Nothobranchius furzeri: one gene and its partners. The protein of the gene in region 2 interacts with the protein of the main gene of each other region in a pairwise test. Links are inferred from orthologs where the notes say so. Each region holds a gene or a part of one and is shown on either strand. Other genes may lie near its edges. The genes, in order: rabac1, snx15 and reep6.

The links.
Region 1: the proteins of snx15 (region 2) and rabac1 interact in binary tests that used the Homo sapiens proteins (3 or more experiments, as listed by UniProt). The two-hybrid records come from large-scale screens. The link is inferred for Nothobranchius furzeri from reciprocal best matches to the Homo sapiens genes SNX15 and RABAC1.
Region 3: the proteins of snx15 (region 2) and reep6 interact in binary tests that used the Homo sapiens proteins (3 or more experiments, as listed by UniProt). The two-hybrid records come from large-scale screens. The link is inferred for Nothobranchius furzeri from reciprocal best matches to the Homo sapiens genes SNX15 and REEP6.

Annotation. Positions count from the first base shown.
Region 1 is NC_091745.1:74,794,993-74,800,123, reverse strand, and holds rabac1 (prenylated Rab acceptor protein 1), read left to right. Parts: upstream 1-2,054; 5' UTR 2,055-2,189; intron 2,190-3,180; 5' UTR 3,181-3,194; coding exon 3,195-3,316; intron 3,317-3,393; coding exon 3,394-3,606; intron 3,607-3,749; coding exon 3,750-3,847; intron 3,848-4,054; coding exon 4,055-4,156; intron 4,157-4,275; coding exon 4,276-4,364; 3' UTR 4,365-4,911; downstream 4,912-5,131. UniProt on the Homo sapiens protein: General Rab protein regulator required for vesicle formation from the Golgi complex. May control vesicle docking and fusion by mediating the action of Rab GTPases to the SNARE complexes.
Region 2 is NC_091754.1:59,455,754-59,460,826, reverse strand, and holds the start of snx15 (sorting nexin-15), read left to right. Parts: upstream 1-1,153; 5' UTR 1,154-1,279; coding exon 1,280-1,378; intron 1,379-1,688; coding exon 1,689-1,845; intron 1,846-2,088; coding exon 2,089-2,204; intron 2,205-2,284; coding exon 2,285-2,561; intron 2,562-2,641; coding exon 2,642-2,815; intron 2,816-5,073. UniProt on the Homo sapiens protein: May be involved in several stages of intracellular trafficking. Overexpression of SNX15 disrupts the normal trafficking of proteins from the plasma membrane to recycling endosomes or the TGN.
Region 3 is NC_091748.1:78,701,803-78,706,933, reverse strand, and holds the start of reep6 (receptor expression-enhancing protein 6), read left to right. Parts: upstream 1-1,744; coding exon 1,745-1,877; intron 1,878-5,131. UniProt on the Homo sapiens protein: Required for correct function and survival of retinal photoreceptors. Required for retinal development.

The DNA of each region.
Region 1 (5,131 bases), on a different chromosome or scaffold from region 2:
CCGATTTAGTCGAATCCTCAAAAAACACAACTTGACGTGACACACAGTCTTGCAGAAATGTTAGTACCAAGAGTAATGAATGTCTCTCAACAACGGCCACGACTAATTTAAGGTCCATATCTGTAAAGCTGGCTGAGTTACAGCAATTTGATCTTTGCTAAAACCAATTAAATGTGGCAGCAACCCTGATTCTGTGTAAGTTCAATGGTTACGTAGGATCATGAGATAACATGACCTCCCAAATGCCTCCGGGCTCCACCTTTCAGTGACAAACAAATAAACAGCTTTAATAAACATGTTAGCTTAACAGTTTCTATCTATAGCAACATTTACGTCTAGATTAATATACTTAAAGAATAATTGTTGCATTTAATTTGGTTCCTGGAGATTATCTGAAGACTGCTAACAACTCACATCCTACAGTAAGAGGCGTCCAGTGTCTAAACTTTATTCAGTACTTCATGCAAGTTTAAAACTATTTTATTTTTCTAATTGAAACAGCATATTGTAGTTTTCAACAAGAAAACTAAAATAACTTTATTTGGCACAAACTTGAATTGTAGAATTGTGCATTCTTTTTCCTGTCTTTTGGAAAAATCTCCGACCTCATGCATACTCCAGATACAACTCATAAATCTTTAGAGAAAGGGCTTGAAGGACTTCCACTTACTATTTAAGGAAAACGAGGTTCTTAAAAGCAACTTTTGTCAAAAAAAAAAAAAAAAAAGAAAAGAAGAAAACTCATTTTCAAGCTATTTTGGGAGATATTAGGAAGTTAGGAAGTTTTGGGGGATGTTAACCTAATTTAGTAATTTAGCAATATTTTAACACAATTATCAATTGTTTGAATAAACGTTCTCCAGTTTGGTTTATTTGCTGTTATTTACCCTATTTTGTTGAGCATTTTTTTAAATAATCTATTAATACTGATTGTTATTGGAAATTAAACAAAAATATAAAATATAATTAGCTTTTTTGGGGAAAATGCAACTATTTACACCATATTTTCTGACATTATTTATACTTATAGTCGACTAAGTTATAATATATATGTGAGATTTTGAAAAAATATGACATAGAAATGTATTTTCCTCGGGAGTCAGGATATAAAATGTTAATGTACGTGAGCTCAGTGTGTGTGGAGCTGAACATTCCTGCCTTTTACCGTTTCAGCTTGACGCTCTCCACACACACGAACCAGTCAGCGGTGTCGTTTTTATCTTCAGGCAAAATGTGTATGAAAGCAGCTGGAGGCTCCTGAAACGACTCGTTCCTCTTGTGTTACGGTTTTACGCTTTATACGAGTTTATGTATCCTGTCACGGTTTCTGTGGAGAAAAAAACGGTCATTAAACACCCAGCCAGGACAGCTGTTGAGCTGAGTAAGCTAAAGAGCCGAATAAGCTAAAGCTAACGGAGCCAGCGTAGGCTAATATGCTGCTATGGCGCTGTGTCCCCCTTTAGTGCATTTGTAAAAAAAAACGCGTACATTTTGTTTTAGCATTGAAACGTTACTTTATTAATGACTAACAAAAACAGAACTGTCATAAACCCCAAGGTCTGAAGATTACATTTAACAACACGTAAAAACATTCCAACAGCTAAATTTGATAAGATAATTAATAGCGCCTCACCTTCTAATGTTTGTTTCCTTTCTTTCGCTGGCGGATCTAGCAACTTCCACAGTGCCGCGTGCCCAGTGACGGCAGCACCACAACACTCGTCTATCTACCAATCACAGCCTCTTTGTTTGTTACATGACGTAAGGTCACGTTTTTACCATTTCTGATCTGCAGTCAGTTTTTCGTGCTTGTGTGGTTTTGAGCAGCCACCGCAGAAAACAGGCAGCCGATCTCAGGTCGGCTTTTTCAACAGATGTGTTTTCGGCTGTTAAGAGAAAAAACTCCGTTTTTTGGATGAAGTAAAAATAATGCAAAAAAATAAATAAATAAAATAAAAAGTAATACAAATGAAAAGTTCCACCTGTGTTGTGTAACACAAAATTCGAAGTACTCTATGTAGCCAGTAGGTGGCCCTGCCTAGAGTCAGCGAAGTAGGAAGTTTTTTCTTCTTCTCCAGCAGCCACATCACTTCCGAGATCCAGAACAGCAACAAAAGACAGCTCAGGCTGTCTGGTGAAACTTCTGCCTACATTTTGGTGAATGATTTAAGGGTTTAGCATTTTGGCAGGTATGTTGTAATTTAAATTCTTATTTTAAAAACAAGTGAAAATTACGTTGACGTTAAATAAAATCCGGAAGTAGACGTAAACATTAGCTCATAAGCTAGCATTTTACATTTACATTCAGGTTTTAAATAGACTCGTCGTGAGTATAATATTTATATTTGAAATTGCTACTTCTAGACACTGTTGTTTGGTAACGAGAGTTTCTCGGTTATCCTGTTTATTTAGTGATGTGGCACTGGCCGGGCCCTGTTTCTACTTCTTCCTGTTTCTCTAACTAAGGATCGCCATTAAACTAGAAAGACATGTAATCATTAGACAGTGATTGTTTATACACTTGAGACCGTTTTAGATTATGACGTGTCAAATGTGGCGTTTTAAAATACGAAAAATCAAAAGTTAGCTCCATTGACATTTGCGATTATTGCTTTCAAAACAGCTTAAGAACCAGGGAGGTTTACTGGGAACACGAGGAATATGAAAGATAAAATAAGAAGTGTTGGGGTTAAAACATGTGTCTACAGTAGATCTGAAGGTCAATGAAAATGGTGCAGTTATAGAAACGACCATATGTCAAGTTTTCAGTCAATATATCTTTTGGAATCCGTTTTGTGTGTGTGTGTGTGTGTGTGTGTGTGTGTGTGTGTGTGTGTGTGTGTGTGTGTGTGTGTGCTAAAGTACCTTTTTTTAATTTCTCAAATTGTTTAATCTTTGGTATTTTGTCATCGATTCTAATTTAAAAAATAGGATTTAAATGTCCACTACACTACACTACACCAGTTTCAGAAATGTTTTATGCCTGAAGGATTTATAGACTAGAAATAAGGGGCTTCATAGGCAAAAAATAATAATAATAATACATCTACCAGAAAATGAGTGGAAACGCAACCAAAGTCTAAATAAGATGCTACACCGTTGCATCAAATAAAAATGAGTAAATCCAGGCTAATTGTTTTTGTAAAAGTTTAGTCCACATTCAATGTGATTCTGTTTCAGTCAACAGTCTCTAAATGTTATCTGGAGTGCCTAAAGGGGAGAACGTCATGGTGGACATGGACAGCAAAGCTGGAGATTTGTTCATCCCAGATGAGGCCCATCCAACCGGCACAGGGGGCATCGGAGTCCTCTCAAGGTGTGAACCACCATGCTTTCATATTTTTACCCTGGCTTTGGTGTGTTGATGATATTCTATTTTGTTTATTTTTATAGGCTCTGGCTTCCTAAAGGCATCTCGGCCAGCATGGCTAAGGAGTGGTTCGACAGGCGCAGGTTGTCCATCCGACCGTGGGCCAGCTTTGTAGACCAGCGCAAATTTTCAAAACCTCGCAACTTTGGAGAGTTGTGTCAGAGGGTGGTTAAAAATGTGGAAGTTTACAACAGCAACTATACCTTCATATTTCTGGGGCTCATCCTCTACTGCATGTAAGACCTAATCAAAGAGAGCTTCATTAAAACAAAAAATGTTAATTAGATCATCTGTGAGACTCTGGCTTCTAGAAAAATGTCGACAGTCTGCTTTAAATAGCTCCAGCCTGACAGCCCTGTTCATTTTTCCTGCTCCTCAGTATCAGCTCGCCCATGCTGCTGATTGCCTTAGCCGTGTATGCTGGTGCCTTCTACGCCATCCACCTTAAGTCTCTGGAGTCCAAACTGGTTGTTCTCGGTGAGTACATTTCCTACAAATCCATAATCTTTTCAAATTTACCAGATTTAGTTTTTTTTTTTTTTTAACATTCAAGGTCTATTTTTTTTTATTCTGTGTGAAACCTTTTAAATATGTCATCCATGCCTGTTCTGGATTTAACCCACGCTGCATTTAGCACCACAAACCCTATTTTTAATATTTTTCTTCATATTTCTTGTTTATCAGGCAGAGAACTGACAGTCCCACACCAGATGAGTCTGGCTGGAGCCGTTTCTCTGCCCGTTTTCTGGTTGGCAGGAGCCGGAGCCGCTGTGTTTTGGGTTCTCGGTAAGCTGAACATGATTTGTTCTTTCCTCGTAATCTTTTTCTGATGTTTCATCTTGATTAAGAACTAAAATCGTTTCTTTTTACATCCATTTTTCCTGTTCTGTGTGGTTTCCTGTCAGGAGCAACTCTGTTTGTGATCGGCTCTCATGCTGCGTTCCGAGAGTTGGAGGCGTCGGACCTGGATGAGCTCCTCATGGAGCCGGTCTAAAGAGCTGCTCCATGATCAGTCCTCGTTTTGACCCTTTGAGAATCTCCTTGAAGATTTTTTTATATCTATACATATATCCTTCTTCCTCATGTTTACCTTATGGCATTGTATTACGAATGCACCTTATGTTGCATGATAAATAACTGTTGTTACACAAATGCATAAATAATGAATTTCTTATTGCTTGAAGCACATTATTCGCCTTTATCTGCATATATTAAGCCTGCGATGCCTCTGGTTTGTGCCATGAAGCCTCTTGCTCTTTAGCGGAGCATCTGCGCTGAATTCCTAGCTGTGGGCATCCTGCAAAGTAAATTCTGACGGCACCATCCAAACTGCTGGTATCGACGCATGTCCGAAGGTCAAGTGCCATTTAGTTTTTTAATTAGTTTTGAACATTATGTGGCTTCTCTTTTTATTTATTTGATCAGCTCTGGTTCAGACATTCTGGTGGGAAAGGTCACGAAAAGCACATTTTAGAAATTCATTTGTAAATTATGCGTTCTGTGCTGAAACGTTGGAAGTGCAATAAATTCTGTTACTGTTACTTGTCTTTAGTTTTATTCTCGTAAGAGTTGGCGTGTACATGTGCACGCACGGGGCAGTCGCTGCGTCGGACTCGGTGGCCCTCGGCACATATTTCTGTATGTGTTGTTATTCCAGTCCAGTCTGAATAAGACAAACCCACGACTCCTCTTCTCCCTGTATCTCTTAAGTGCACCAAACTGCAGCGTGCACCCCCCCCCCCCCCCCTTGTTCCACCTCTT
Region 2 (5,073 bases):
TTCACGGGGTCGGGAGGAGAAATAGGCGGTACAACTGGTAGAACACCTTTAAAAAGCATTCTAACACCGATGGTAGTTGCAGCAAACAGTGTGGCATATTCTTTGGGAAATGCTGGAAATTTATATGTGTTTAGGAGTTCTGTGTAAGACATGAGCTGTCCATTAGTATTATACAACTGATTCACAAAAATTATCTGCTTCTCAACTCAATTAGAGAAAAACAATGACTTGTTTTTATACACTATGTTCCTGTTATTCCAGATCAAGTATGTATGGGGAGTAAAATTATGTTTATAAATCAGTGACCGGGCTAATAGAACTTGTTTGTGAAACATTGAAAGTTTTTCTGGCAGCTTTCCTACATTGTAGTCACAACCCAGGATAAAAGTTAGACCACCAAATTTAGAGAAGATATGGTGAAGAATAAAATTCCAAATGGAGACAGGATTTTTAAGAAAATGTTTTGTCCATTTAATTTTAAACGTGTAGTTTAAGGTAGTGAAGTCCAAGATATTGAGTCCTCCATGTTGATAGTCATTCATTTTTACACTCTTTCTAATGTAATGTGTTTTGTTTTTCCACAAGAAGTTGAAGAGCATTCGGTCAATTTCCCCACAAGTTCTGTTGTCCACATGCAGAGATGTGGCAGCATAAGTCAGGCGAGACAAACCTTCTGCTTAGGAGAGCAACACTCGTCCTCTTAAACTTAAATCTCTTTGTAACCACTGATTTAACTTAGATTGAGTTTTTTAATTATTGGAGAGAAATTAGAGGTAATTCTGTTTTTTTTATCTTTACAGATAATCAAGCCTAAATATGTTACTTCGTGTTGAATAGCTATATTACAAATACTATGATCATTACAATTGTTGATAGGTAATAAGTGACATTTGTTTAAATTTAATATGAATCCAGAAGCTTTTGAGAAGTCATCTAAAATTTTCAGGGCAATTGACACCTGACTAGCATTTTTAAGAAAAATGGTGGTATCATCTGCCAGCTGGCTGATGACAACCTCTCTGTCTGCTATGTTTATACCTTTCATAGGACTATTAGCAATATAAGAGGCGAGAATTTGGGCCCAAGGAGAACGGTCTATTGTAGTTTGCGACGTCGCTTCCATTATACGTCATCGCGTTTTGCGGACGTACCCAACCAGGAAGTGTCCGTGGCGCGTAGTAACTGAAGCAGCATCACAACAGAGCGCGTCTCCACGATTTCGGACTGGTTCCGTTGTGGTTCTGAGTTTTATTTAGTCAGAACCGAACCGACAGAGAACATGTCGAGGAAAGTCAGCGAAGACTATTATCGCTTCTTTACGGTGACTGACCCGCGGACACACGAGAAGGGGCACACCGAGTACCGAGTGTCAGCCCGGGTTAGTTTCTGCTCTTTATCCTTTTATCTGCCGTTTCGGGGACTGTAGTTACACTGTAATTAACTCTAATAACGCTAAATGGAGTTTCTGACACCATTTACGTTTGTAACAGAACAGAAAAACAAGTTACCTGAGTAAAACAGACAGATATCCGATCCGTGCTCAGATATGAAAACAAACAGCGGATCCTTTAGCAGAGCCAGCGAGGCTAACACAGAGAGAACTCGTGACTGAGCTCCTGATCCCTCATGACCTCTTTAATGCTCTGGAGCAGAAAGGATCCATCTTCACTTCTGAATGTGTTTGGCAGTTTGTGTCCAAGCGTCATCCCGAAGACGTGAAGGAGGTGGTGGTGTGGAAGAGGTTCTCAGAGCTGAAGAAGCTCCACGGAGAGCTGGTCTACACGCACAGGAACCTGTTCAGGAGGCACGAGGACTTCCCAGCTTTCCCACGAGCGCAGGTGTTTGGTACGTGGAGCGAGGACGGTTACAAGCAGCGGACTGGTTTCATTCAGAGCTGCGTCAGGATCAGACAGAAGGGCTGCTTGCTCCTGTCGGTCTGCCGCCATCGTTCTTGTGACATCTCCCCCTCTGTGGTAACCAAAGGGGAAGTTTGTAGGTGGAGATGGAAAATGCGGCTCTGAAAGAGTAAACACTAGCTTAGTAGGTCGTCTATCTACAGTTCATCAACCCTTCCTTTGTTTGCTCCAGGAAGGTTTGACGAAGCTGTGATTGAGGAGAGGAGGAAGGCGGCAGAAGCCATGCTTCTGTTCACCGCCAGCATACCCGCGCTCTACAACAGCCCACAGCTCAAGGACTTCTTCGGGGTGAGGAGGGCAAAATAAACTAGTCTCTCATAGAAATGCTGTACTGTGACTGTTGTCATGTCACTTCTCCCTTCCTCCAGGGTGGAGAAGTCACTAGACCGCTTGATTCCTCTCCCCTGTCCCTGGGTGGGGCTCTCCCTCCCCCGCTTATCCCCCTGCCCAAGCGGAGAGCCTCAGACTGTGAGCCTGCTGAAGAGGAGGAGGGCAGAGAGGCGCCCACCTTACCCCAGGACCTGGGCACCAACATCAGCCTAGTGGTGGGGGAACCGGAGCTAGCTGCTGAGGCCTACAGCGAGGTGGAGAGATGTCCCAGAGAAGAAGAAGAAGATGTTAGCGACGCAGAACCAGAAGATCGGGGTATAGATGTTAGAATGCGTAGAAATCTTTTCTTTCTTGTCTTGTCGTTTTCACCTGTTTGTTCTCGTTTCGTGCTCCAGCTTCCTCCCCCGAGCCGTCTCCAGTGAGACTCCATCGATCAGCAGCGGCTCAAGAGGAGTTTGACTCTCTGTTTGACGGTTTGGAGGAAGACCGGGCCCTGTCCTCCAAGGACGAGGGACCCCCTCCCCTCTCAGATAACGACCTGGCTGTCTTTGATCCCTGCTATAAACAAGGTGGACAAACATTTACTTTAGTAAACAAACGTTACGCTTTTCCACACCTCCATTAGTTAATGTGAACAACTTGAGGCCGTTTCATATCCTAACGTTGCCTTTTCCAGCACCGGTCTTGTTTTCTTTACTTCCTGTAACTTTTGCCTTCATGACTCCTGAGCAGTGATGGGAGTAACGCTGTTTAAGTATAACGGCGTAACTAACGGCGTTCTTTTTTAGGTAAGGGAATAATCTAATTAATTACTTCTCCCACCGTTGCACCGCCGTTACCGTTACTGGGGACGGGAGGTTGTGCGTTACTATGTGCTTGTCGAACGCTGAGCAGCAGTGTGAGGCTTTCTGACCGCCACACTTCAGCTGCAGCCAGGGAGAGAGAGGTGTCGGTAAGGCGCTTACAAACACGATGATGATTGGCCGGGTGGGCGGAGACCCTCACGGTCTCAGTCTCTGCCTGCTGTAGACACAACAGAGCAGTGATGGGAGTAACGCCGTTTAAAATAACCGCGTTACTAAAAAAAAATATTTCTTTCAGTAACGAGCAAACTAATTAATTACCGTCTTCTTTTATCAAACGTGGTTTCTGTTACTGATAAGGAAATGCGTGCGTTAAGCAGCGCGGTGTGTTGAAGCTGTCATCAGCTGATCAGGAGCTAAAGAGGCAGATGTTTTCATCCAAGAGCATCACGGCCGTGAAGAACGAGGAAGACGTGATGAATATCTACGGCTGCAGGTGTGGATCTTCTTAGCGTGACAGCGGGACGTCCTGAAGGTCCGCTCACCTGTTCACCGCTCAGACGTCCTGATCTTCTACCTTCCTAGATCATCCAGCTGTAACCTGTTCCTGATCATGTCTTTAGTCCCGCTGTAACACTGATGCATCAGTCTCAGACGTCATGGAGCTCAGGTGTTATTAGAACTACCTGTGTGTGTTACCACCCAGCTTCAGCTCTTCTGTGGTTGGGTCTGACCCACGTTAGTAAATGTGAGTCCTCCATCAGGCTTGTGCCTCTTCACGTGTCATTTTAAAGGATTTTAAATTTAAAGTTAAAGTCCAACTAGTGGACACACACACAGGTGTGTGTGCAAAATTTGTTCTCCGCATTTGACCCATCCCCTGGGGGAGCGGTGAGCTGCAGACACAGCCGCGCTCGGGAACCATTTGGTGGTTTAACCCCCCAATCCAACCCCTTAATGCTGAGTGTCAAGCAGGGAGGCATTGGGTCCCATTTTTTCAAAGTCTTTGGATTGACCCGACCAGGAATTGAACCCCTGATCTCCCAGTCTCAGGGCGGACACTCTACCACTAGGCCACTGAGAAAGGTTAATTTATTTATTTATTTAACCGTTACTAGACTAGCAGCAACAGAAATGCTACTAAAACACACAATTATGTGAAGCTGGAAAAATTAAACTACTGTACAAAATTACATTCATTTCTGTAATTTAACTAGACTGAGAGACCATTTAAAGGCTCGGGAACCTTTACAGGTGTTTCTATTTGCAGTTTTAAATGTTAGCTGATTGGGGTCTTGTTAGATATCACACAGAGACCTTTTAATAGTCTAGATTAGTGTAATGCTCCTGTTAGTAGTTCCTCCTGTTAAGTGCTTATTTATTTTTATAATTATTCAGGTTTATAAAAAACATTTGGACACTTTATTATGCTCCAGTCATTAGTTATTAATATTTCACTATTGTAGTCATTTATAGTAAATTAAGTAAGTTCAATTAACCAATTTTTCTTGTATTCTTTAATGAAAAAAGTAACTAAGTAGTTATTTTTCTTGGTAAGTAGTTACTTTTATAATCTCGTAACTCCGTTAGTAACGGAGTTACTTTTTTGACAAAGTAATCAGTAACTATAACTAATTACTTTTTAAAAGTAACTTTCCCAACACTGCTCCCGACCCGGTTCTGCTCTTTGTGGGTTTGTTCTTACACAGACTCTTCTGTTAATGGGCTGGACTTCCTTTTACCTTCAGAACCAGCTCACATCTTCATGTCATAGATCCACAGAGGTGCTGGAAACCTCCCTCTGAGGTTCTGGTCCATAAAGATATGACAGCATCACACAGCTCCATCCATGATGAGAACCTCCAGTTCCACCACATCTCACAGGTTCTGGACTGGACTGAGATCAGGTGACTGTGGAGGTCTCTGGAGTCCAGGGAGCTCGTGGTCATGTTCTAGAAACCAGTTAGAGATGATCTGAGCTTTGTGACGTGGTGCATGATCCTGCTGGAAGTAGCCTTCAGAAG
Region 3 (5,131 bases), on a different chromosome or scaffold from region 2:
TCCCATCATGTGCTGTGATCAAATGTAAGCAATATGTCTTTTTTTTTTTTTTTTGCTAAACACGCCCCCTGCCCCACAGAGCTCCATTCAATAGGGAACTGAGCGCCGACCAGAGCTAACCAACTGTGTTAGACTACCGCTTACGTGCTTCAAATTTAAGGAATACCTCGGCTGATGCAGAGTTGATGAACGTTTCACGGACAAGTAAGTCTCTAAAATATAAATATATGAAAACACAACATGACATGAGAATAATACTCGTAAAACAGCGTGTTTTAGCTCCGTTTGTCAGCTGCAGAAGCACATTTATAACCAGAAACGTGAAGTCGCCATCTTAAACAAACAGAGGAACAGACTTTTTGTGTGATATGCTTGTCAGCCACTAGATGGTGCCATCAGATAAGAGAAATACTCCGGAAAGAAGCTTCAACGCCGACTTTTGATCCAAACATCCTGTGGTGGAACGTTAAATGATAGTTGGTCACATGTATTCTGTAAATCATGTTACGTTGATGATGACAACTATACAGGCCATACAGAGAAATGTGATTACGTTCTTTTGTCACGTTTCCTATGAGCACACTAAAACTACAGCTGCTAACCTTTACTTATTGTTACAGTCATGTCTCCATAAGCACATGTCTACAACACATGATCTCCACACGCATGTGAGGATGTGTTTCAGTTGCTAACAGGCACCAGAGGGTTACGCAATTATGAACGCTAATGCGATTTCTTCAGCCATCGTCACCCGCAAGCTACATGTAGAGAAACCTGTCCCACTTAAACGCAGGCTTTTAGCCACTCCCACCGCTGCGTCCGTCTGCTCTCACCTGTTTTCCAGGCGAGGCGCCGCTCATCTCAAACAAGGCCATTCTCACATGCTTGTGAAGGCACCCGAATGTGCGAATGGGGATATGACTGTAACACATTATAAGTAAAAGTTACCAGCTGTAGTTCTAGTGTGCTCCAAAAAAAAAAAAAAAAATATATATATATATATATATATATATAAATAAAACCATTTAAGGTTTAAAAAAACCTACATGGCCCCTTGATGTTTTGTGTTGTTTCTGCACAACTGGCATTTAAGGGCACACTCTGCAGTTTTTCTTGCTTTTAGCACCCCCTAGTGTCCATTATTAATTATCTGTGGTCCAAAATGAAACCAATCTCCTCGCTGTGCCTTTTTCTTTTTAACACCCAAATCTAATAGCTGAAATGTCTCCCCAGCCTTCTTTAGTGTCTACAGGAGTGATTCATCACTAAATTAAACAAACAACTGTGTCCATGATCTAAAACAAACATGCTGGCAGCAGCACAACAGGCGGTGGCCCAGGACTCTGAGGTATCCTGGCCACAGAGGGCGGTGGGGTCTGAGTGACATTTCACTGTTTCAAGATGCTGATTCAAAAATATGAACAACTTTGCCTTTAGGATGAGTAAATCTGTTTTGTGTTTGATGGAGAATAAAAACGAGAAATGGAGAAAAGGCAAAGACTGAAACTTTAAACAACTATATAACCATAACATAATCATCGGGGGAAGTTTTAATGTTTCTATCTAAGAATGAGACTTTTGAATGAATGATTTTGGGATTAACGGATGCTCACGAGGCACCTCCTCCCTCACCGCTCCACCTCCTCATTACAACAGATTGTTGCTGTGAGAGGATTACTACCTGCCAGCTGCCGGTCCAGGATCCTTTCCTCTCTGCTTCTCTTTGAGGACGTTGTTGGAGACCATGGGACTGCTGGGTGTTCTCACCTCCATCAAGGACCGAGCAGAAAAGTTTCTGAACGAGAAGAACGTGGTGACGGATTTTCTGGGGAAGGTGGAGGAAAAGACGGGGATCAAGAAAAAGGTCCTGGCTGTGGGTATGTGAGGAAGCTCCTGCTGTGTTCAGGTGATGAAAGGTGTCCGTGGTTCTGGGTGGATTCTGTCCAGGTGTGACACAACGGTACCTGCCTGGACGAGTCCGAGAAAAGAGGATTCAGTTAATCCTCCTGTGAGGAGATGCAGCCAAAGCTTCTGTTTATTATTCTGCATAATCGGACTTTAAACTGCCTCCTCATCTCACTTTTATGTTCCTTTCAGTTGCATCTGATTTCCTGTTTGTTGGTTTTGGTTCAAACAGAAACCCTCTGAATTTGACATCGTTAGACGTTTCCTTTTGTTGATCCGCCTTCCCCCAGACCGTGTTCTGGTGAAGGTTCCCAGCAGGTCCTGGAGTTAAAGCGGCTGAAACTCTTTATTTTCCTACAACTCGGCTCTGAGTCCCATCCTGACACAGCTTCAGAAGTCCACATTTTAGTGGCTAATCTTTATCATGCACTTCCTGTTTTAAATCCCAAACTACGGGAGTGTCTTGTGAGCTGCTTTTCCTTTAAGGAGCTCTGGCTACAGCCCGTGCCCTACAACGTTCTGCTCAAACTTAGAAAACTCCTGGGATGACAAGCAAGATGAAGTCCTGCTGTCCTGAACATTTTTATTCATCTCTGGAGCCTCTCCTCCTGTTGATTCTTACTAAACATCTGTGAAATCTTCTGAACCCTGTCTACTAAGCAGAGTGCACTTGCAGGAAGTGTGCAGTAAGGCTTCGAGTGTGCGGTATACAAGTGTGCAAATAATCGCTGAACTGGAAAAGGGAGTGTTGCGTGATCGACCGCAATGCATGCAGGGATGCTGGTCACTGAGCTACTTTTTATAAAAACCTTTATTAACAACTTTCAAACAAACAACCAAACATCCATCCGTTTTCGGCCCGCTTATTCGGGGATGGGTCACGGGGGCAGTAGTCTAACTGGGAGGCCCACCCTTCCCTCTCCCCAGCTACTTGGGCCAGCTCCTCTGGGGGAATCCTGAGACGTTCCCTGGCCAGCAGAGAGACATAGTCCCTCCAGCGTGTCCTGGGTCTTCCTTTAGATCTCCTCCCAGTCGGACCTCACCAGGGAGGCGTCCAGAAGGCATCCTAAGCAGATGCCCGAGCCACCTTAACTGGCTCCTCTCGATCGAGAAGTTGGCTCTCTGTAACAACCAATTATTTAAGTAAATTTGTTTTGTCTAAAGCATTCAGAGCATCAAATAATTATCCTACAGTGAACTACTTTTTTATTTGACTGTGCTACCTTTTTTACTTTAGTGTCTGCCCTGGGATTGGGAGATGGGGGTTCAAATCCCAATCGGGTCATTCCAAAGACTTTTAAAAAATGGGACCCAATACCTCCCAGCTTGACACCATCGACATATATATATATATATATATATATATATATATATATAGTGGACGATTCCTGTACATAGGCTCGTATGAGAAGTTTTTAATTTGAAATGGGAGGTGGCCACCACCGCCATTTTGATTGTGTCACACGTCTCGTCGCGCCCAGACAATCCCATAAAAGGGAAAAGAGGTGGAGCTGAAGGTGGGGCTGTAAGGCTGGGATCAAATGATGACACCCGTCGAACAGTGATGTAGCTACAAGCTAAACCAAAGCCAACGCGGAGGGGGGAGCTAAGCTAACAGAGGTAGCTTCCTAGCAAACTGTGCACAACACCGGAGCTTCTGAGTCGGAGATGTGCCAGGCTGACCGCTGGGTAAAACCGGGTGGAACACAGAGGTTTCCAACCGAGAGCTCCACAAGCCGGCAGCCGCGCAGCAGACAGGCGCCGCTGCGATGCGCCGAGCTGCCGCTGAGGGGAGGGGACCATACCGATAGTGGGAACCCAGCTCCACCAACATGTTATATTTCAACCCATTTTCTAAAGTGCAGCATTATGTTAAATGCACTGGGTTTTACCCTATTACATTTAAATGTCATGGTTAAACAGTACATGTTAAAATCTAAGCTCAGCTCGGCAGTGACCTAAAATACATAAATATAATTTTACTTACCGAAAAAATGAAGTGGAGACTCCTTGGACGCTCTATTAGTGCAATTAATGCCACAGCAAGTCATTTTGTCCAACAATTGCACAAAAATATCCAAAAAAGAACACAAACGCTACAACTAATGGTCTAAGTTGAGAGACGGAAAATGACGGAACAGTTTTTAAGCGAGACCGAGGCTCTACTGAGGCCTTTCCACGGAGCTAGCTCTGTGGTCACGTGGGTCTGAGGCTCATTAATTATACAGAATTTTAGACTTTTAATACACTTAAACAGAAGAGTGAGAAAAACATTCACCCCCCTCAGAGTTGTCATGAGTGTAAACTAGATCATTTAAACCAAAAACATGTTCTGGTACCAGGCTGTAAACATACCATGCCAACGTTATTTCTATAGCACAGTTTAAGACACAGCGTGAGAGCTGACCGAAGTGCTGAACAGGCAGGATCAATTAAAACAAAAGTAAAAACAATAGGACGATAAAACACAACAATAAAAACTATAAAATCCTAATAGGATGACATGGATCACTGTCTAAAAGACAAGTCATAAAAGTAGGTTTTTAAACGACATTTAAAACAGGCAGAGAGGACGCCAGCCTGACTGTACTGGGCAGTGAGTCCTAGAGCATGGGGGCAGCATGGACAAACTCACGTTCACCTCGTGATTTGTAGGCCATCCGGGGAGTGCAAAGCAGTAGACGGTCAGCTGACCTCAACATACGAGTAGGTACATATGGAGTCAGCAGGTCGGACAGATATGGAGGAGCTAGGTCGTGTAGGGCTTTAAAAACAAACATCAATATCTTAAAATGCACACGAAATGTGATGGGGAGCCAGTGAAGATGTTCCAGGACTGGTGTAATATGGCTACAGTATGTCGACTCGTGTTTGTTAAAAACCTAGCAGCGGCATTTTGGACAACCTGCAACCGGTTCAGGGCAGAGACAGGAGTTCCAACTAATAATGCATTAGCGTAGTCCAAGCGAGAGATGACGAAAGCGTGGATGACTGATTCCAAGTGCTTACTCTTTAAGATCGGTCTTAAACGAGACAGGTGGCGTAACTGATAAAAACAAGACATTTTGCCCATCTGAGCTGCCGTAGTGGCTGGCCGCGATTTTAGATTGGTCTCCATTCGCCCCGAGTGCATTCATTTCTATTGAGGAAGGTGCTTACTTATCCAACTGTAAAACACAGTTTATCAAGCTTTTTCACAAAATCAGACACAAAGGTATGGCATTAC